Linked DNA regions of Caenorhabditis elegans. The protein of the gene in region 1 interacts with the protein of each later gene in a pairwise test. Each region holds a gene or a part of one and is shown on either strand. Other genes may lie near its edges. The genes, in order: C53C7.3 and scrm-6.

Evidence for each region.
Region 2: the proteins of C53C7.3 (region 1) and scrm-6 interact in a two-hybrid assay, tested with the Caenorhabditis elegans proteins (one large-scale study listed by BioGRID).

What each region holds. Positions count from the first base shown.
Region 1 is NC_003284.9:13,043,375-13,055,233, forward strand, and holds C53C7.3 (uncharacterized protein), read left to right. Parts: upstream 1-5,183; coding exon 5,184-5,240; intron 5,241-5,287; coding exon 5,288-5,381; intron 5,382-5,530; coding exon 5,531-5,604; intron 5,605-7,094; coding exon 7,095-7,511; downstream 7,512-11,859. Other genes in the region: K03A11.1 (TBPIP domain-containing protein), read left to right, coding at 8,422-8,503, 9,089-9,337, 9,443-9,580, 9,676-9,744, 9,800-10,013, 10,061-10,368, 10,420-10,824, 10,966-11,223 and 1 more.
Region 2 is NC_003279.8:11,247,194-11,259,052, forward strand, and holds scrm-6 (Phospholipid scramblase), read left to right. Parts: upstream 1-6,062; 5' UTR 6,063-6,091; intron 6,092-6,144; 5' UTR 6,145-6,156; coding exon 6,157-6,354; intron 6,355-7,545; coding exon 7,546-7,905; intron 7,906-8,295; coding exon 8,296-8,482; intron 8,483-8,556; coding exon 8,557-8,690; 3' UTR 8,691-8,734; downstream 8,735-11,859. Other genes in the region: F46A8.11 (DUF7154 domain-containing protein), read left to right, coding at 1,077-1,155, 1,200-1,291, 1,341-1,580, 1,635-1,782, 1,824-1,909, 2,452-2,573, 2,620-2,653; F36D1.8 (Carbohydrate sulfotransferase), read right to left, coding at 9,357-9,547, 9,950-10,107, 10,406-10,546, 10,590-10,721, 11,144-11,286, 11,745-11,791, 11,855-11,859.

The DNA.
Region 1 (11,859 bases):
GCAAATCCTGTATACTTTCAGAAAGTTGATTTATAAATAACCAAAAAAAATTTAAAAACCCAAAAAAATTAATCCCATGATGTTCTACCGTCGAGAAAGCAGTGAGCCTGCCTCGTGCCAATAAAAGAGAGGTACTACCCAACCGTGACGCCAATGGTAACGACATTTACTATCAAAATTGATAGTAGCCTTAATTTAAAAATGTCAATTTAAAATTTCAGAGTGCAACGCCTCCTCGGCACCTACTTCCGGTAAAAGAGAGCCCGAAATATATTAATAAACGTTTGTTAATCACATTTTTAGTTTTCACTCAAGATTAATAAATTCCAGGATGGATTCCATCAACTGACTTTACAAGAAAGCCATGGAACATGGTCTTGGCCCTTATTGAACTATATGTGAGTGGAGATCACTTGGGAAAATTTTAAAAGCTGATATATCTAAGAAATTTCAGAAACAGTTCCTAATAACAGCAAGCACAAGTGCCTGAACAAAGATTTCAAAGAAGTAGGCTACTGACAACAATTTCCTGATAAGATGGATTCATTTACAGACTCAAAAAAATATCGCGAAAACCCCTTCGAGAATTGTCTTGAAAAACAAAGTGAGTACATATATATGAAATTTGAAAAATAGCTGTTGTAGTGTTTAATTCGATCTGTGAGAAAATAATGAAAACTAATAGTAAGCCGCCATCAGCAACTCAAGCCTGCGTATTTTTTTCTGTAATCTGTGTTTCTGAGCATCGGTTCAAAGATCTATTTCTTACTTCACAATGAAGAATGAATTACTCAAAAAATATCGATATTCACAATAAGGCCCTATCGATATTCACAATAATGCCGTCTGCGCCTTTTTTTGTTTCACCACGTGGAGTCAAAATTTCTTATTTCGATTTGATCTTCAAAAAATGCGGGAGGTGAGACGTAGACATCTCATCTGATTGGTTAAGAGCGTGCTGACGTCACAATTTTTCTGAAAAAAAAATTCCCGCATTTTTTGTAGATCAAATTGTAATGAGACAGCCTGACATCACGTCTTTCACTGTAGTTTTTACTGGTTGTTTTAATCGAAGTTAGAAGTACTTCATGAAAATTGTAGATGTTTCTCTAGTGGAAACAAACAACTGGTTTGAATATTATTTCTTTCAGAAAATTAAAAAAAATCTTGTCATACAACATTTCATTTTCCTTGGACGTCTTCCTTCTCAGACGGAAATCCTTGTTGTATAGACTCAAAATCACAAAAGAAGTAAGCCCTCATTAAAAACCTGAGCCCTAACGTAAAATATTTCAGTCTTAAGCTATCAGCGCTCTTGATGAGATCCTTGGCTCTACAATTGAAAATTTCTCACAACACAACATGAAATGGCTGATGGCACAAGAATTTAATATGACTTCGTTACTTCACTGTTGCGTTGTTTTTTTAAACCCAAAGTAATTTTTAAAAGTTTGAGCTAAAGTTTCATGACTAATATTTTCAGACAGTATAATTTCCGGCTAATGCTCCCGGCAAAACCTTGACTTCGGTCATTAAAAAAGTTTGTTTCAAGGTGTTGGAAGAGACAATGAAAGTTTAATTTTCAGAAATTGAAAAATATCGTCGCAGCCCATCGACGCAAAATTCCAAAAAGTAAACCATATAATGGGCCAAATTAGATGTAATTCACTTAGTAAGTTAAATTTAAATAATAATACTAATAATAATATACGTAGAAAAACGAGTAGTATAATATAAGTACTGAATAAAAAAAATAAGACAACATTCCAACGAGTATTTAATCTAACTGAAACAGCTTTTTTCAAACATTACTTTTATATTTCAGATGTTCTAGAATAGCAACAAAACCGCCGCCTCCCATCGACGAAAAAATCCGAAAAAAGTGAGCAATAGCCTAAAACATAAATATTTTAGGGAATCATTTTCAGATTCATTAAATCTTGTTTACAGTTTCAATAGTGGAAGCTATCCGTCAAGTTCAAAAATGCAGAATTCGTTCAAGATTTACCCATTCAAAAAAAAATGACAGCCATTTATGACGTCATAAATTGGAACAGTGGAAAAACTAGTGCATATTCTGCATCTTCAATACAACTTGGATACTCTTCCAATAGAATGGGAATAGTTAGTTGTAAGTTTCTTTTGAATGAACAATTTAAATCGAAATCCCCAAAAATGACAGACCGTATTCAATAGAACTGACAGGACTAAATTGGAATATTTTCAGAGCAAAACAAGGTCGGAATGACAAAATGCTTAGTCAATGTAGTCATCAGGCTTACAATGTGACAGAAAATATTTTAGTCATAACGAATCAGCATTAGTTTGCAATCTTAAGAGTAAAATTATGAAGAAAAATCATTTTTGGAGTTTTCTTATCATTTACAGTATTTTTCATTAACTCTCCGCTTCCACTTTACATAAAGGTTTGTAAGCCAGAATATAAACTCCTTATAAAATACTGATTTCAGTTATTCCATCTTGTAATGTACAACAATTTATTTCTTGTTTCGAACTCCAGCCATCATTAAGTGGTCTCACAACTGCCACCTGTTGTACATAATTACTTACATTTATCAGGTAAAACTTGAGATGCATTGTTTTTGATGATTTTTTTATTCAGACAATATTATGATAACCACATCAATAGCAGATGAAATGGGGTAGAATGTGATAAAGAATGAAGACTCCATGTTAGCAGTCTCCTGAATTCACCGAATCCCTTCGCACGAAGAAATGTTCCTGCTAAAATCGTTCAACGCCCTTTTGATTTTCTTTTGTTTAATTTTCAACCAAAAAATGTATTTCATTCAAAGTTGACAATAAAAAATCATAAAAACCAGTTATTGTTTCAATTTACTATCAAATCTATACATTTTTCTCACTCGTATACTAAACTTTTCGCACTACGCAAGGTGCAAAAAAGTATTTTTTGCTTTAAAATTGTTTCATTCGCTGATAAAGTAAATATCTGATCAGACAAAAAGAATTCGCAGTCAGCAGGATTCGAACCTACGCGGGCAGAGCCCATTTGATTTCGAGTCAAACTCCTTAACCACTCGGACATGACTGCATGGTTTGAGAGGGGCAGCTAGTGCAAACATAAATTTCAACAAGAGAGAAGTGAGAGAAAGAAAGGGAAGCGGCGACGAGGCGAAGTGAGACTGCCAATTTATATGTCCGGTGGAGCGAGTTTAAAAGAAGCAGTCATGTCCGAGTGGTTAAGGAGATTGACTAGAAATCAATTGGGCTCTGCCCGCGTAGGTTCGAATCCTGCTGACTGCGAAACAGTTTTTTGTTCTTTTTATTGTTTTGTTTTGCATAAAATTGATAAGAAATGTTCCTTATATGGAGTTCTTTGTAAAAATTTGAAAAGATGATGAATTTTCCAGTGTCTGCTACTTCGGTTACAAGCCTAAAAATTATATAGAATTTTCAATTAATACATTTTGACTGGCACGCGATGCCACCCACATTCCCTCATTTCTCTACTATTGCAAACTATTTTTGAGAAACTCCGTCTGTAAAATAATAAAGGTCTGATAGTGGATACGTATTCAATTGTGACCAATATTTTCTGTATCTCTTTAAGATTTGTCATGTAGTTTTTTTTTCGAAAACGATATTTTTAAGCTTAAAGTCTCGAAGTGTTTGAAATACATATAATTCATTTTTATTTGACAGTAATCAGAGTCAATGCAAATTTAAACGTATTCAGCACGTTTAGATAAAGTACACCAAAGTTTAAAACAGGCTCTATTTATAGTAAATCGTTTTTGGGTTCTATTGCAATTGCCAATATCTTGTTGGAATTTTGTTTCAAAAACGTTTCACTCGGGCATCATAGTAAAATTTCTCCAAACTGCACTTACTTATTTTTACTTATTTTTACTTATTTTGAGGATATGTACTATTGTGAAAAAAACATTCTACACGATTGGACATCACAGAGGTTTTTTTTTATAAACTAAACGAATTTAGGATATATTTTCATAAAGAACTTAAAAATTAGTCTTGACAATAGATTTACAAGAAATATAAATTATTCGTAAATGCATAGTGCCAATTATTTACATTGGTTAAAAGAAAAGCATAAAATGATAACTGACTTACTATAAGAATACAAAAATTTCCCGGTGTTCATTTGGAAAACATAAGATAAGGTGTCTTTCAGTTCAGAATTAATATATAGGTTAGTATTAAAATACTGCTAGCAATTTTGTGTTAAAGAATACGTATATCTTTTTATATACTAAATTTTAAGAACATGCTAAAATTGTAACAAAAACGAAGACATTAGCATGGCCATGTTCTAATATTAGATAAAACTCCCTCAAATTTATTATTACCTTTTCCAGGTACTCTCACACATCTATACTTTTCTTACTTCCAGCCCAGCTTTCAATTGTTTTTTCACACGAACTAGTATTTGAGTACGCTCGTATTTGTGTAATAATGACTTCTCTCTGTTTAAGCAGCGATGAGAGTCTCCCTGTGAACCAGCTCTGGCGACTTAAACAACAAGTGCGGTTTGAGGTTGACATGGAAACGTGAGCTTCGCGCCATGAATACCCACCCGACCATTAATATTATCTTACATTTTGATAATGCAGCAGGCAAAAAAGAATGAATAGGTTTTCCGGGGAGGTGCTCATTTCCTTTTTCTCGCTTTTTTTGTTGTTTTGCTTCCTACTACCAAGGTTGGTTAAAAGTTAATGTCTAAAGGACCAAATTTTAGATTTAAGCGTTGTATCTCTTTTTGAAAAGATATTTTGTAGAATTTAAAATCTTCAGGCTTTTTGTTCGAATGCCGACACAAACATTCAACAGTTGCAACTTCAAAACTTTTATTAAGACAATATTTGTGACAAATAGAAGATGTGTGTGTATTTTTGTAACAACCTTACTATAATAGCCATTCCAAACAAAACCCACCACTTATTTCACTAGCTGAAAAATTAAAAAAATAGGTTTCATGAGCATAACAATTTTTATAGCATATTTCATTATTCCTTCTTAGGCATTTTCTCTCCTTCTACTCCTTTTTCCTACAAACAATTGTAGTTTTGATTTAACACTTTCTTTTCTTTTATTATATTCACTAATCTTCTTTTTCTTTTACCTCTTCTACCCGACGAGCACTCATTTACTCGACTAATACTTTATAACTACAATCTACTCAGATGGAGCAAGACGAAAATCGAGATATGCCACCCGTCGAACAAAGGAGTGCGAATCCGGTGAGTGATCCGCTAAAAAAACACTCATGAGAGGTTATGAGTTTCAGAACGTCAATATTCAATCAATTCAACAAGAGGAAAGTGGCGGAGGCAGGAGAAATCACGACAGCGCCAGAAATCAAGAACAACTGCTAGACATTGGTGGGGATTAGATATTGCCAAATTGGCAGTTTAAAGATTAGATACCAAATTTTTTGATTAAGTGTTGTGAGATAGCATATGATTCATTCCAAAATCCTTTTATGAACAAAGCCAGTAAATTATCACATTTATATCTTCAGATGCTTCAGAAAATCCAACTGAAATGAGGTCAGCTGAGCAAGTGGATGTCCAGCAAGAACCTGCACCACCACTGGAACGCCCAGTAAGTGAGACAGTATTACCTCAACCCAAAAATACTCTGTACCCTCTGGCGTTCCCCAGGGAACTGTATCGGGTCCACTTCTTTTTATCCTGTTCATCAATGATCTACTATACTCAATCCCTCCTACCGTCCATTTCTCATGTTTTGCGGACGATATTAAATTATTTGGTCACAGCCCTTCTGAATTACAAGCAGCCATAGATTTAATTGCTAATTGGTCAAAAGATAACCAACTCCCGCTTGCCCCTGCCAAAACCGCCCTTCTTCAGTTAGGCAAAAAGAATTATAAAAATGTTTACACCGTTGACAACATCACAGTTTCCTTCACCAACTCAGTTCGCGACCTTGGTCTCTACACTGACTCCAAGTTAACGTTTCAACCTCATATAAACAGAGCCACTTCTCTTGCCCTCTTACGCGCTAAACAAATCCTCAAATGTTTCTTCTCTTCTTCCCCTAAATTCTATATAAATATGTACAAGACCTACGTTTCCCCTATCCTTGAATACGGATCAGTCATATACTCCCCTCCACCAATATCTAATTTATCAAGCACTCGAATCTCTACTCAAATACTTTTCTAAACGGGTCCTACAGTGCTGCAATATTAAATACAAAATAAAAAATGCTCCACAAACACACAATGCTTTCTCCAAATCCTACCGACTAAAAAAAACCGACTAAAAATTCTAGGAATTTCATCAGCCCGCTCTCTCCGCCTAAGAGCCCAACTATTGCTTCTATACAAAATTCTTACCGGCGCAGCGCACTTCCCAAAAAGCAGTAACTTTGTTACGCTTGCTAACTCGTCTCGTCGTCCGATGCTCATTAAAATTAAAAATCCCAAATGTCGTAGCTTTTTCTCCCAAGTAGTACCAATATGGAATAGCATTGTACGCAACTCTAGCTTTTCCTCTCCCCATCACAATTCTTTTCGCTTGTTGATTGTCAAATATCTAAATTCTGATCTCTTTTCCTCTCACTTAAACTCGCGCTCTGTCGGGCCGAGTTTATTTTAATTTATTCATCTACACGTGTAAATATCATAACCGGTTATGCGTTTCTTATCATATTCTTTTTGTTTCCATGATGAATAAATAAATAAACTGTTGAAAGCTACTTCAATATGAAACCATAGTACGATAGTTATAATTTATTTCCACACTTACGCAAGGTGCTGGATATTGGTTTGTTTTAAATTTATAAGCACGTGACATTTGGCTAAAACTTCTTTGCTACATCTAACAATTTAATACAAAATAGTTCAAACAAGCTGCTGAATTGGTCAGGGCACTGTAAGAAATCTGCAAAAAAAAGAAACGGAAAAGCTAGACTTAAAACCATTCAACAAAACCAGCAACGTGGCAATTTATTTTTTACAAAAAACAATTCGTTTCAGAAATTTTACTATTACAATTTTTTACTATTAAGAAATTTTACTATACTGAAATATTTTGTGAGAATCCATTAATATCATTATAATTTTTTAGATTCTCAATGAAATTATCCGACCAGTGCCGATTCGTCCAAACAACAACAGCTCATATCGCCAGTATGTACCAACTCCACCGCCATCACTGTCTCATATGATGCGATCGCCACCAATCAATGATGAGCCATTGCCACATCCCATTGCTCTGTCACACCAACATGGTAATATTCAATTTCAACGAGAAGATCTCGAGCTCAATGATCAATATGCTAGAAACCGACTGTTAGACCAGCTGGTTCAATTACTCTTGCGACCGCCAGAGGTTCAACACGTTATCCACCAGCACGTATTTCTTCAACCTCCACCACCACCGCCACCAGCATTTTTTGATCATCACTACCCACACTTCCCACCATATGAGCTAAACCTTCAAGATCTACAGGAAGTTGAAGTGGTCCCAGAAGATCCAGTTTGAAGATTTTGTGAGACACGACTTGTATGAGCGATAATTATTTCTGATACTTGTGAATTATAACCCCACATTACATACATTGTGAAACGTCTGATTTTTGAATCAAAACGTGAGGTTTATTTTCAAATTTTCATGCATATAAAAATACCGCCCTTATTTTTAAGCCTAAAGAACATCTGCACATCACGTTTAATTGAAAGCAACAAATAAATGAAACCTTAATTAATTTTTAAAATGTGGGGTTATAATAAACAGGTGTTCTATTTTCTTCGATTTTCCCGACCAAATTAATGTTTTATACTTAAATGTAACTAGAAATAGTCATAAAATCCTCTCCCTATTGAATACGTAGTCTCATTGTTCCAATTTCTTTTTACAACCTCCATCAACCGCACCTGTAAATCCAAATCGATATTTGTGTGCTAATTGGCTGTAACTGTTTACTCCAAACAGCAGGTGCGCTATTCTGCAAGCGTTTCCCATATCTATCTTAAAATCGATCAATAGTTCATCTTCCCTCCCCTGACTACACTCATTCTGTCCATTTGTCCACTCAATCATTCTTTTTATTTTCGATTTTTCTCTTGTCCGCTCTTTAATTGTTTCACAAAAATTTCAATTGTGATTTTTCTCTGTTGATTTCTTTCGGTTTGCAATTTTATTTCTAGTATGTCCAATGTACCACTGAATCAAAACACTATCCTCATTCCACCCAGAAAACGTTATCACTAATTGTTAATAACTACATTATCTCAGTAGGAATAAAAACTCGTTTATTCTCAATAAACCTTGGCACACACGATTGCAGCACTATGTATTCACTTTTCAGTTTTACTTCAACTTGCATGCAACAAAGCTGAGAAGTGCACGACTCGAAGCGTGGCTCTTCAACTCAAAAAAAAGAGCTGATAATATGGATCTACATCAGCATCTTCCATCTTATCAAGAAGCAGATGGCGGTGCCCATGGCAAAGAAACAACCAGCCATATCATCTGTAAGAAATCATTTTTATTAGGGAAGGGGCGATGCAAATATATTGAGCAAAAAGGAGAGGTATCTAGACAGAGGTCATAAATGGGGATATGGGAAAATATGACTGTCTCACTTTATGACACGGCAGAAAAACATTGAATGTGCAAATACCAAATCAACATTAGAAAATTTTAGAAAGTAGGCTCATGGCCTCGCCACGCTCTTCAAAAATCAATGGATTGCGCGTGACGAGACCATTTCGCATAAATTCGTCCTCCTTCAAAATCGTAGAAGTAAAAAAAAGTACACTGTAGGTATATACTCATCCAAATTAGTTTAATGACAACTGAATTGCAATTGGTGTAAAACTGACAAATAATTTTTTTTTTGTTGAAAATGAAAATTTTGAGCTATCGCAGTTTGGAAACTGGAATCAAAAAACACTGGTGTATTATGAATAAACAAGAAAAATAGTGCCATTAAAAAAGGAAAAACTTTAAATCTAAATGGTGTATTTTTGAAAACAGATAGTATTCAGGGTATCTCAATGAAATATTTTATCCATATCACTTCAAGTTTTGTCAGTAATTCAATGAAACTTTTTCAGATAATACAAGTCAGGAGTATCATCAGATTAACCATCAACAATTTGATCAAAATAATCTTGGAGAGTTACCAATCTATTTGAACTACCCACTCCACGGACCAAATCATAAAAAATGGCACCTGGATTTTCAACAGAACAATGATGCGAACGAATACTCACAAAATGGGAATCATGATTTCTCAGGGGCTGAGATGAGTTATCCAATTGAGGATTTTGCCCAGAATACCTTTGCTGAACAGTATGTTGAAGGTGAGTCTATTGATATCCTTGCTTAAGCTAATAGCCACCATGGCAAATAGTAAATGAAGTGCTGTCTTTAATTTTTGTCAACTATCTTAAGGCAATTATTTTTAGATTCTTATCAAAATGCAGGGGCATTGGCGCTTACTGGTCAGAATATGAATATTTCAAATGTACATAACGGAGTTCATATTTCAACGCCAACGGAAAATTTGGCTGAGAACAATGCCAATAACGGGCTTGACGCGATTGGTGAGTTTTTAAATACTCAATTTCTGTTCCTATTCATATGAATATAACATAACATGCTTTCTCATTATTTTTTAACTAGGTTGTTTCGTTTTCAGCTGATCTCGTGAAACCTTATCAAAATGTTCAACTGGAAAGTTCATCGAAACAAAAAGTACAGCGACCAAGTAAGAATAAACCACTTGTATGTTTAAAACAAAACTTTAATTTTTGATTTTTCAGAAATTGCCCACAAAAACTCTTGTGCTCACGGTTACAAATATGCTGTTGCCTATCAAATCTTGAAAGACAATGTTGGATACGAAATACCAGTGGATACGGTCAAATTGTGCAGGGAAAACCACATCGACACAAAAGTGTTGAACATGGTTGTCCGTCGATTGGAGGAGCTAGGTGCTATCGAGAGACCATTGAACCTTCATGTTAGATTTACACCGTAAGTGTTTATTCAAATGTAAAAGTCATGATTGTTGCATTTTAAAGAGAGTTCAAATTCAAAGAAATCGATGAGTTTCAATCAACACATATAGAAATTGAAAAGTTGGATCAAGAAGAAAAAGAGCTTGACGAAATGTTGGAAATTGCACAAAAACAGTTGGCGGAAGTCAAACGCAATCCATATGCATTTTTCACAAGTGCAGATATCAATCTTCGTGGTAATGAAGTGTTGATAGCAAAAGCTCATGATGTCACTGTAGATTGTATGACAGGAATGAATAGGGTTGTCACTAATATGGATGCTGTTAAAATTGATAAGATGAACTATTTGAATAACCGATTCCCCAAAGAAGGTTAGTCAGTTTGTCTTACTATAAACCAAATTTATATTGAATTCATTTTAGCTCTCACCAAGATTGATAACAAAAAATACAAAGCAGCTGCAAAAATAATCGATAAAAATATCGGACAAGACAAAGTTCAATTGAAACAAAAGAGCAAAGATGAAGCTGTAATGAAAATTCTTCGTCAATTTTCCGGAACTAATGAAGCTAGCGATCCCTCCGATGAACGTCCAGTGCATCAAGCTCTTGGCATCAATAAGAAAATGGCACATCAAACTACGCAAAACAGTCAATTAAGAATCACAACATCGGGTAATGAATTAAAAGTGTCAATTGGAAAAAAGTTTGATGAAGCTCAAATAAATAAACTCCAAACCGAGAAAGAATTGAAGAAGAATGCCCAAAAACAAGCAAATGCGGCAAAAATGAGAGAGAAACGAGCAAAAGCGAAAGAAGAACAAGAAGGTCAGTTAAAAAAGAAAATAAATTAGGTGAAATTATTAAAATTACCCACTTGAAATTATGTTTTTGGGAGTAAATTAACATTGTTTCCAAACACCTAAATCATACAGAATGCTCTTTTTTAAGCCAACTGTTTTTTTTTAGGAAGTAGAGCTAGGAAACGTAAAAACACAGACGAACCGACTCTGCCTATCAAACGTCAGGACAGTATTGATTCTGAATGTGCACTTGGACAACTAGATCCATACAACAACCGAATCATGTTCTCAGAAATGTCATCACCAGTTGGATGTTATAATCCAGATCTTGTTCCGGATATAGAACGACTTCGACAAGTTTCTGATGCAATTTCTGATGATCAAGTATGCAATCAAATTTTCAATGAGCCGCAGCATGGATTGAGTAAGTTAAAAACTGCTTTTACATATCTAAAAATCAAATTTCAGGCTTGAGTTCGCAATATTTTGAGGGCACACGTAGTGATGAGCCAAACTCAGTTCTTAATGAGGGCCTCAACTTCGATATTCCGCAGGAAAATTTGAGAATGCTATCTCCAAGACGCGAAAACTTTGGCATGCTTCGTGGAAGAGAGATATCAGAAGAAAATCATACTCTGAATTGCTTCAACTCTCAAACTTTTGATGATGATATTATGGATTTTAATTTTCATTCGATGCAAAATCTACCCAGCACTTCTGAAATGCAATTCAAAAGTTCTGATGACAACTTTGACGGAAGTTTCTCAAATTTCGAATATGATAATAAAGAAAATGAACACGACGAAGCAAATGAATCAATTGATTTTGGATTTTTGAACGAGGAGCTGAAAATGATTCCAGATGATGAGCACAATGCACCAATTGACTTGTCGGATTTATCTCTTCATTCCCATTTCAACGAAAATATGGCGGACTCGTCACTGGTATATTGAATGATTCCGACAGTAAATTTATATTTTTCAAACTTTTCTTCTCCTCCCACCCCCGGCAACCCTTCCCCTGTCGTTTAATAGCAGTTGTTCATATGTTACTTTGCCCA
Region 2 (11,859 bases), on another chromosome or scaffold:
ATCAGATTAGATTATACACTTTTATGTAAGATTGTTTTAAGACAGTGGGGGGGGGGGGGGGCAGATAGCTCAGTCGGTAGTGGTGGCCGCTAGCAGTCTGGAGGTCACGAGTTCAAGTCCGGCCTCACCCCCTTGGTTCACCCAGCCTCTATTGGGAAGTGGAGCAATCCACGACTGGATTATCGGCCACAGTCCCCGGCTAGGACGTGGCTTAAATTACAGCCCAGAGGGATCACCACCAGGCAGTGTACCTGAATCCCAGATCCGCAGTGCATAGCACTTGAAGAACGGATCGTCCTTTAGTCCTTTACTCCTTTAATCCTTTTTTATTGAAAATAACCTATTACAGCGAAACAAACAATTGGACACCATTTGCTGACTAAATGCCAAATTTCGCAATTAATTTGAGCAAATATATGAACATTCCGAACCTCTTGATCCTATAACATTTTTAAAAACACATTTTTATACAAATTTTTATTCTCGTACTTTTTGAACCTTTGTCTTACTTTTTTCATACAATCTCAAAAATCAAACCCCATAGACCAGTCCAATAATTTTTTTTCAAAACATAGCTCCAGATGAGCTCCAGATGCTCAACACACCCACGGAATTTGGTCTTACACTCAGTATTAGCGTTGAAACTAAGAAGGTTATAAGCATTTTTTCTTAATACACAATTTCTTATCAATCCGAGAAACTCAAATGTTTTATCGCCTTATCACATTCTCCTTGTGTCCAGTATTATTTAAACTATTTAACACCCACTCATATAAAGGCAATACATTTCTCTAACTTGCTTCAGTACTTATCTATTATTCATTCTCCATATAATCCTAATTTCAGATGATTTCATACAAATTCAGATATACCAAGTTGCACACAACCAATCATAGAATTTAAAATGATTTTACAGATATTTTAGGGGAATCATGTGCTTAAGTTAAAAGTTTGTATTTCAGCAACACTTGAATGCATACCAAGTGACCCCAAAACATTCCTGTTCGCTTATTCAAATGATTTGGAGCCAAGTGTAGTTGTACCAACATTTGATGTCGTGAAGATTTACATAGAGGATGATAACTATAACACGTTTGCACGCGTTCGATTTGATACCCACCAAGAGGAAGAAATCGATTACTATTATAGCCTCAAGTAAGTTTTTATACAAGTAAATTTTCATTGTTATCAAATTAGAGATTTAAATACATCGATTCTTGATCACCTTCCCGATCCTTCCCTAGGATTCGGAAGTAGTTCAATTGGTAGTGACTCGTTGAACATTGTTGAGGTATGTGATATAGATCAGAACATAACATTAAACATATAAAAAAGTTCAGAAATTTTACAATAGCACTCAGTTTTCCACTTGCGGATCCATTGTTCTAATACTATCAAAGCGAAACCCAGATGAGAATGATATTTCTAAACTAATAGCTAAAGTTCGATCTCACCATGGAATGGTTCATGTAATTGCATCAAATACTCCATCAGGTGGATCCCAACCACTTACCCTCTATGACCTCTCATCAAAAACAAATGGGCTAGCCGATTTCCGGATTGATGATGAATTTGACGAGGTGAGACTTTTTATGGATTATTTTCAAATTAAAACAATCCAAAACTCTTTTCAGTCTGTCATACCCTTTGCTGGGCTGAACTATCCCATAGTTAATTACGCGGTGAATCCATTAGTATCCGGCAATGGCTCCACTGTACTGCCTCCACTATACCAAGCTCATCGCAGCCAAGCCAAGCTCACAGTTACTGTTCAAAATCATGGTATACATTCTTAACGTATCTTTTTATAAGCATAAATTAAGGAACAATTGATGCACTCCAATCATTTGACCTCTTCTGGTACAACGCTTCATCGTCTACCAATGGTGGTTATGGTCTAGATTATCTGGTACAGTTTTTTTTCGAAGAAGATGTAAAAAATTAAAAAAAAAAGGATTAAAGGACGATCCGTTCTTCAAGTGCTATGCACTGCGGATCTGGGATTCAGGTACACTGCCTGGTGGTGATCCCTCTGGGCTGTAATTTAAGCTACGTCCTAGCCGGGGACTGTGGCCGATAATCCAGTCGTGGATTGCTCCACTTCCCAATAGAGGCTGGGTGAACCTAGGGGGTGAGGCCGGACTTGAACTCGTGACCTCCAGACTGCTAGCGGCCACCACTACCGACTGAGCTATCTGCCCCCACCTTTACGAATATACATACATAACAAAAGAAAAACGGGAACATCCGTTAAAATTCAACATTTTTGTCAGAAAAATCGACGAGACCCATTTAAAATTTAACTGGCAAAATGCTAGGCCGCTCACATTTTAATACTTTTTTTTGTTTTTTCATAAATATTTTATACAATCCCTTCTTCCCATTTTTATTAGGTTTTTTTGTTAGTCCACTGCGTACAATAAAATTTTTTTTTAAAGTAAATTATTTCAGAGAAATGGCACGATTGAGTATGATTGGTTGACTCTTGATGCGGCTATTTACAACATGACCCTTGAATATTCATACTCGGACAATACGCCATTCAAAATGCAGATTAGACAATACGTGATGATGTAAGATACAATTTGAGAGAGTTTATCTGAAAAATAACATTTCCAGCGATACTGACTATTGGACGCCATATGCTGACTGATTATCAACTTTCGCTATTCGACTTACTTCAATAAATAAATACATGCATACGAAGAATTATTTTAACAACTTCTTATCAGTTCCGAAATACATAAAACATTTTCATCGCCTTACTTCCTTTTTTCCGTCTCTTGTATTATTTCATAAGCATCACATTGCTATAAAGTCTAAGTACCTATTTGATAAGACATTGCATTTCTTCGAAATGCTCCTCCACTCTTATATTATTCAATTCCCTTGCAGTCCCATTTTCAGACAGAATCAGTTGCACTCAACCAGTTCTAAAATTAAATATGAAGCTAAAATTTAAATTTAAAATAATTTTACAGATATTCCAGGAAGACTTTAGGTTTATATTGTTTAAGTTATATATTTCAGAAACCCTTGAGTGCCTACCAACTGACCTGAAGACACTTTTATTTGCGTATTCAATTGATTTGGAGGCCAGTGTTGTTTCGGAATCGGCCAGTACCCTGTTTGGAAACTTGGACTACTATGTAACAAAATTTGCAAACGTTTAATTTGACACTAGCCAATCTGCAGAAATATACTACAGTTATGATTACCAGTAAGTGTTTATACATGTGTTGGGATGTTTTTGTTCGAAATTTTCAGACAATTGGTTTTGGCAGCAGTTCAATTGGTAGTGACTCGTTGAAAATTGTTGAGGTAAAGCATAGAAAAGATTCCGGCGGAGGCGCTGCTGCAGCGCCGTAATTCGTCGTAGAAAAAATTGGTAACTTCGCATTCAAGCATTCAAACCTAGCCTTCAATAAACATAGAAAAAATTTTTTTTTTCAATTTCAGAATTTTTACGACAAATCTCTATTCTCTGTTTGTGGATCTGTAGTTGTGATTCTCTCGAAACGAAACCCAAATGAAGTGGAAATTACCAATCAAGTAGCCAAAATTCGATCTCATCATGGAATAGTTCATGTAATTGCATCAAATACTCCATCAGATGGATCCCAACCACTTACCCTCTATGACCTCTCATCTAAAACAAATGGACTGACTGATTTTCGAAATGATGATCAATTCTACAATGTGAGGTTTCAGAGAGCGTTTTCCACTACTAATTTATTTCAGTCTGCAATTGATTTTTACGGCTTAAATCGACCTATAGCTTTTTACGCGGTAAACCCTGTAGTGTCTGGAAAAGGTTCTATTGTACTGCCTCCACTATTCCACACTCAACGCGAGGGAGCTGCCTTTGCAGTTACTGTACAGAACCATGGTAGAAATTCTGAGCTGTTTATCATCACATATTAGCATTACAAATTTAGGCCCTATTGATACATTCAAATCATTTCACCTCTCTTAGTACAATGCTTCTTCAACTTCTAATGGCGGTTTCTATGGTTATCCAGAATCCCAGTACTATGAGGTGAAATTCTTCCAAGTATTAATACTATACCGCTTCTTACAATATTATGATAACTGGAGACTGCTCGCACTAATTTTAGATAACTAATTTTTATTTCGAGGATACTACTTTTGAGAGTAATAACCTCATGATTAGAAACTGTTTCAATAATACAATAGCTATTTCAGAAAAATGGCACAATTCGAACAGGTGGTGATATTCTTAATGCTGCTATCTACAATATGACTTTGGAATACTCATACTCGGACAATACCCCATTCAAAATGCAGATTAGAGCATACACTTACATGTAATATAATGTTAGTGCTAGCTTATCGGAAAAATAACTTCTTTCAGGTATCTCGACTACTGGTCACCATATGCTGACTAAATACCAAGTTTTGCAATTCATTTGAATAAATATTTGAACATTTCATTAGCTTACTTATCTGGGAGTTTGATAAAATTTGTTTCACAATAATTTTGCAAAAATTAAAATTCTGCAACACCATCCTGCATGGAAGAATTTACGTATGCTCCTAGTTGATAACATTGAAACTCAGCAAACGCTTGACAAATTATCACTGCTTGTGCAAGTACTGGTTTCCAGTTCCATATCTGTTGTGCTGATTGCCAGGAGGTACTGTTGTCGGGTTTCATGCTGTAAAGATCTACGAAACGAATATATAGTTTAGCTGCTTAACTATTGAAAATCTATTAGTTTTTGTTCTGTGATGCAAATTCAGGTCGGTGGTGAATTTGAGAAGGTTTCGGAAGAAATTAAAATTTTTTTTTTGGATCCACGGGCTGAATAAATAAATAAATAAATAACACAATTTTAAACGTGAACATAAACTTTCTGCCCTTTCTGCCTTTCACCACGTAATCAATTTTCAAAACCACAAATAAAATCAATTCCTTCCTTCGATCGAAATTCATTCATTTTCGAATTGTGGACAGCACTCTGATATGTGAGTTTTCTTATTACTTTCAGTTTCCTCAAAAACCGGCTAAATTTTCCAGAAAATGAAAAAACAACCGGGACAGCAACCATTGAGATCGCTTAGCTTGACGTCTGCGGCCAAATCACTTGAGGAGGTCGAGCCGGAGGACGATTCGAAGAAAGGCGAGCCACATGCCAAGGCTGCAGGATTCGGAAGAGGTGGAGGTGGTGGAAAGAGACTCCCAGCGGCAAGATCCACGCCAATGGTCATTCCGAACCAGGTGGCAGCGATGCCGGTTCAGATGACTGTAAGCCAAAGAGTCTAGCTAATGGTGACCGCTCTAAATTTTGACTTTCCAGGGCTTCGTCCAACTTGCCACCAACAACATCCTCAGCGCAATCGCCCATACCAACTCCCTGATGGTTGTCCAATGCATCGAACCACTCGAGATCTTCACCGGATTCGAAACCCCGAATCGCTACGTGGTCCACGACATGTACTGCCGTCCTCTGCTCTATTGTATGGAGAGATCAAACGTCTTTGCCCGTCAGTACCACGGAAACAATCGTAAATTGTCCGCCTCTACCCTGGATTCATGCAGGAGATGTTCACCGATGCGGACACTTACATTGTTCACTGTAAGCATTTAAATCGAAGTTTTTAATCTGAATTTTGGAATATTTCAGTTCCAATGGACATGCCGCCAATCTTGAAGCTTCTGCTTGTCACTTCGGTTTTCCTGATCGATTTCACATACTTCGAGGATCGTAACCAGGATCGTCATCATCATCATGGGATGCATGGCGGAATGCATAGCAGCTTTTGAACTTTTTATGAGCCCATTTTACTCGCAGACTAGAATAAACTCGTTTTTTTCTCCACAGTTTTATAGCTTTTCTGTAATTACAAGCTCACTTTTTTTCAGAAGTTGATTCTGTTTTTTTGGGCACAAGTGCTTAGATTTTTCCCCTATATCCCAAGAAGTAGTTGATTTTTATTTAAAAAAAAAATGCTTTGTAATCTGAATGAAAATTCAATTTTGCAAAACGTGACCCCCCCCCCCCCCCCCCACGTAATATCTTCTCCCAGCATAATCAGCCATTCCTACTATTGTTCATCGTCATCGAATGTGAGTTTTCTATCGCTTTCTTCTGGGACCCCAAAACCTTCCAAATTTTCCAGAAACCAATAAAAATGAATAAACAACCCGGAGAGCAACCAGTCAGCTGTGCGACTTCAACTGGGAAATCCGAAAAGGAGCGGCAGAAGGATGAGCCGCCGAGGAGCCGAGCGGAAGCTGGAATGATGCGTGGCGGCGGGAGACTTCCACAGCCACGGGATACTCCAATGGAGGTGCCGAATATGATCGCAGCGATGCCGATTCAGATGACGGTGAGTTACTGACGATTGGAGATTTAGGACGCAGTGCGTGCCGCGTTGCGTGTCGCGTTGCATGTCGCGTTGCGTGTCGCGTTGCGTGTCGCGTTGCGTGTGGCGTTGCGTGTCGCGTTGCGTGTGGCGTTGCGTGTGGCGTTGCGTGTTGCGTTGTGTGTCGCTTTGTGTGTCGCGTTGCGTGTCGCGTTGCGTGTCGCGTTGCATGTCGCGTTGCGTGTCGCGTTGCGTGTCGCGTTGCATGTCGCGTTGCGTGTCGCGTTGTGTGTCGCGTTGCGTGTCGCGTTGCGTGTCGCGTTGCGTGTGGCGTTGCGTGTCGCGTTGCGTGCCGCGTTGCGTGTGGCGTTGCGTGTCGCGTTGCATGTCGCGTTGCGTGTAGCGTTGCGTGTGGCGTTGCGTGTCGCGTTGCGTGTCGCGTTGCGTGCCGCGTTGCGTGTCGCGTTGCGTGTGGCGTTGCGTGTCGCGTTGCGTGTCGCGATGCATGTCGCGTTGCGTGTGGCGTTGCGTGTCGCGTTGCGTGTGGCGTTGCGTGTCGCGTTGCATGTCGCGTTGCGTGTCGCGTTGCGTGTGGCGTTGCGTGTCGCGTTGCATGTCGCGTTGCGTGTCACGTTGCGTGTGGCGTTGCGTGTCGCGTTGCGTGTGGCGTTGCGTGTCGCGTTGCATGTCGCGTTGCGTGTCGCGTTGCGTGTGGCGTTGCGTGTCGCGTTGCATGTCGCGTTGCGTGTCACGTTGCGTGTGGCGTTGCGTGTCGCGTTGCGTGTCGCGTTGCGTGTCACGTTGCGTGTGGCGTTGCGTGTCGCGTTGCGTATTTGCATTCGTTGCGTTCTTTGATGTGGAATACACGTATTTTCCCACATGTAGTCCGTGGCGATTGTCGATGGAGCGCAAAAAACGCTACGAGGGAGGTCAGAAGCTCGTGTACTATATTTCTGGTCTGTTAGGTTTTCTGTGACGTCATACCCAAAAACTGGGACATATGACGTCACCGTTTGTGGGCGGGGCCTGCCGTGTGACGTCATCGTTTTTTTTACCATTCGTGGCGGGACCCATCGTGAGAAATGTTAGCGAGAAATTTGTTTGGCGGGAAAATCAAATTTTTGGAGCATTTTTTTGGCGGGAAATTTGACTTTTCAGAAAAAAATATTTTGGCGGGAAATTCAAAATCCGCAATCTAAACCAACATTATTCAAGGGATTCGTGGACCTCGCCCCTCACACCATACTAGACGTCCTGGCTCAAACCACCTCCCTCATGATCGTCCAATGCCTTGAACCACTCGAGATCTTCACCGGAATTGAGACCCCCAATCGCTACGTGGTCCACGATATGTATTGCCGTCCGCTGCTCTATTGTATGGAGAGATCCAGTTTCTTTGCTCGCCAACATCAAGGATCCCAACGCAACTTTGCTATGCAGTGCATGGATATTTTCGGGGCTCCTGTGATGAATTGCTTCAGAAGTCGGCCATGCTGCTCTTGTGATGACTTCCTGGCAACTGAGTTCTTGGGCCAGAGGATTGGAATGATGAAGAGAGAGTGTTGTGATGATAATGTAAGTATGTCGATGCATCACGGTTTGATCTACAAAAAATGCGGGGTAATTTTTGCCCATGCAATTTCAGTTGAGAACTCTGCACCTCAACTCCCGCATTTTTTGTAGATCTACGTAGATCAAGCCGAAATGAGAAACTTTGACACCACGAGTCGATGCACCATGTCCCAAACTAGCGTTGAAGCTCATATCTCGGCTCTTTTTCTAGATATCAAAAAGCTCTCAACTACAGAAGTGTAGTAAAATTAGTACCTAGTATTTTGATAATTGATAACTTTTGATAAAATTTAAGTCAACAGAGAGCTGTAAGCCTAGCCTATGATAGTCGATGCACCATGTCCGAAACTAGTTTCGCAGATTAGAATACCATTCACATTAAATTATTTTCAGTTCCATCTCGTGGGCACTGGGAGCAACGAGCCGCTTCTGGTCCGTTCTCCAGGATGTGCATGCTGTGGTGGCACGCAAGTCTTCCCGGTCATGACCTACAACGGCGCAAAAATCGGAGAAATTGTTCGTCTCTACCCAGGGTTCATGCAGGAGTGGTACACCGATGCGGACACCTACATTGTGCATTGTGAGTTGCATCACTAATAGGCCTGCAAAATAGGCCGAGTGTAGGCCTTCTCCTCATGTAAAATAGTCTTTCAGTCCCACCGGATCTTCCACCAATCCTCAAGATCCTGCTTATCTCCTCGACCTTCCTCATCGACTACACATTCTTCGAGAATCGCGGAGGCAACCAACGTGGAGGATATGGACATGGTGGCTATGGATACTATTAGAGCTCTTTTTTAAAGTTTACTCAAAGAAAACCATTTTGTGCTCAGTTAAGGATCTCGCCACGAAAATTGAGAATACGGTAGTTTTGGTGGCGACCCACACAATTATCGCCGAAAAAATATTTCGGAAAAGTTCAAATTTGAGTTTTTTTCGTTTTGAGATGTTATGTAAAACCGATTTTTCAAAGAAGTTAGGCTTACTTTTAGGCTTAGGCTTAGGCTTAGGCAAACACTTAGGCTTAGGCTTAGCCCTGGGCTTAGGCTTAAGCATAGGCTTAGGCTTAAGCTTAGGCTTTGGCTAAGGCTAAGACTAAGGCTTAGGCTTAGGCTTAGGCTTGAGTTTAGGCTTAGGCTTAGGCGTAGGCTTAGGTTTAGGCTTAGCCGAAGGTTTTTTCCACCATTTTTCGCTGAAAATTCCATACAATTGTTTTTTAATCGTAAGTACAGGACTATTAGACGGAAAAGGCGCGTTATCTAAAAATGAAAAAAAAATCTAATTTTTGGAATGAGGGACATGCCTCTAGACAGGCCTGGGACACGGAATCCGGATTTTTTTAGATTATATTGAATGAATTTAGTGAATTGCATGTATAGATCAAAAATCAACAAAATTCCTACACAAACAATTATTTGAAGTAGTAAAAATCTGAAATTTAAAGCTTTATTATTTTAAAAATTAGGAGTTTTCCAGAAATCGGTTTGATACTTGGTGTCCAATTGGTCCCTCTTGAACGGGAACACTACATAATCAAAGAAATATATTTTGTGGAGTAAATCTCGAATTACTGGGTCTTCGCGTACTTGGCGTTCTGCTTCAAGTCGATGAGACGACTTGTGTGTGGAATGGGCGGTTTCTCCGCCTGAAAAATAATTATTTTGGGAAAATATTTACGGATTCAAGTTCAAGGCACCAAGAGCTTTTATTTAAGTATAATCACGACTAGGTTCGGACCACTTTGGGTCTCGCCACGACAGCCGGGTACTGTAGTTTTCGTGGTGGGACCCAAATTAATCGGAACCTAGTCATGATTATACTTAAATGAAAGCTCTCGTTGAGCTGAGTTCGAATTAAACAATGTTAACAAAATTAAAAAAAAAACTTTTCAAAAAATTTGGGACCGCCGGAAAAAAACGGGGGGTACTGTAGTAAAACTCGATAAAATTGAACTAACTAGGAGCTTTCTTTCAAGTATAATTACGACTAGGTTTCATTAACTTTGGGTCCCACCACGAAAGCTACAGTAACCCCAAAAAAAACCTACCCAACGCGTCATTCTGTATCTTTTCCACAGTTTTCTCACTGAATCCTTGTCGTTTTAGTATATTTGCCAAATGTAGAATCGAGGATCTTCTTTCTTCAAGATCCGCACCCATCATTAGTAGGGAATACTTTTTGATATTCTCGTTAAAGTTACAGTACCTAAATAGGGCCAGGTTGGTGGAAAAATTACGTCTCTAGCTCTTCTGGGAGCTGAGTTGTGGGGGTTTAAAGTTTAGGGCAGGGGGGAGAGCGCAGACGACGAGACACTCTGCTTCTCTGCGTCTCCTCCTTCTTCTCGGCGACATCAAGAGAGACGCAGACAGGCAGAGTGTCTCGTCGTCTGCGCTCTCACCCCCTTCTTTCCAAACTTCAAACCCCCCATATCTCAGCTCCCAGACGTGCTAGAGACTTCATTTAAAATCTACTTTAGATCAAATTTTTAGTATTTTAAACTTACCATGACAACGGAGCAACATGCTGCTCAATCGAGCTGGCTTCATGTAGTCTCCTCCGATTGCTTTTTATCCGGTTTAATGTCTCATATATCCGCTGAACAAAGCATGCCATGTTTGTACCGCAATTGTAGCAAGATTTAGTACTATAAAAATCTAATTTTGCAAGAAAACGGAATTTTAACTTACTAAATACATTTATCCAGGTATAAAGAAATGAATCGATGAATTGGATCTCGAATAAAAGCGAATCGGACCAAATCTGGATCATTTAGCAGTTCAAAGGTAGGATTTAGGAATTGGTCCTCTTCAAGACATTTTCTGGAATTTATTCTTGTTGTGATGTTGCATAACAGTTATATAAGCAATTTGCCGCATTTTCAAGAATTTTTTAGGAAATTTTTGGCTGAAAATTTTCACTCCGAAAACAATTTTATAGGACATTTTCTGAAATTTTGGAAAATTATTAACCGTGCTCAAATTGATCATTGGATTAAGCTCACTGAGAGCTTTGAATTAAGTATAATCATGACTAGGTTCCGACTACTTTGGGCCCCGCCACGAAAACTACAGTAGAAAACTACAGTTCGTGGTGGGACCTAAATAACCAAAATAGCCTAAACCTAGTCATGACTATACGTAAATAAAAGCTCTTAATGAGCTCTTTCCGAATTTACCATTTAATTTCAATAAAAGTCCTCCAATTTGGACTCCGCCCACCTACAGTACCCTGTCAAACTAACCTCTCCGTAGTCCAAGTGTCATTCAGACTGTTATGCTGAGCCAAATATTGATTTTCATCGTATAAAAAGCACATTATATTAGACATTAATTGACTCATAGATTTCGGAATTCCACATCCCAGAAGCTTTTTGTCAGGGGCCACCTGAAATTTTTGGAAAATTTTTAAAAAGCTAAAAATCTAAACTTTTAACGCAAAAAATCATTTTCAAACTGTCAAATTCGAGATCAGCACACCTAGAGCTTTCAAATGACACCCATAGAGACTAGGTTCCGATTATTTTGGGTCTCACCACGAAAACGGGGGTACTGTAGTATTCGTGGTGGGACCCAAACTGCACGGAGCCTAGTCATGATTATACTTAAATTGAAGCTTTCGGTTAGCTAAACTCAACTTTGGAAACAAAATTTTGAAAAACAAATCACTTTGCTATCAACTGTGTCCCGAAACGAAAACTGGGAGTACTGTAGTTTTCGTGGCGAGACCCAAACTGGGCGGAGCCTAGTCATCATTATACTTAAATGAAAGCTCTGGTTGAGTTAAATAAGAATTTAATAATTGCAAGCCCAAAAAATCAGAAGTTTTCGAAGAATCTCACTTACAAAGAATCCATGATCAAAATCGACGAATGGCGGAATGAAGTCCTCAACTGAAATTTAAAAGTTATCGATTTTTTGAAAATTTCCATAAAATTCTTATAAATCAAACCTACCTCCA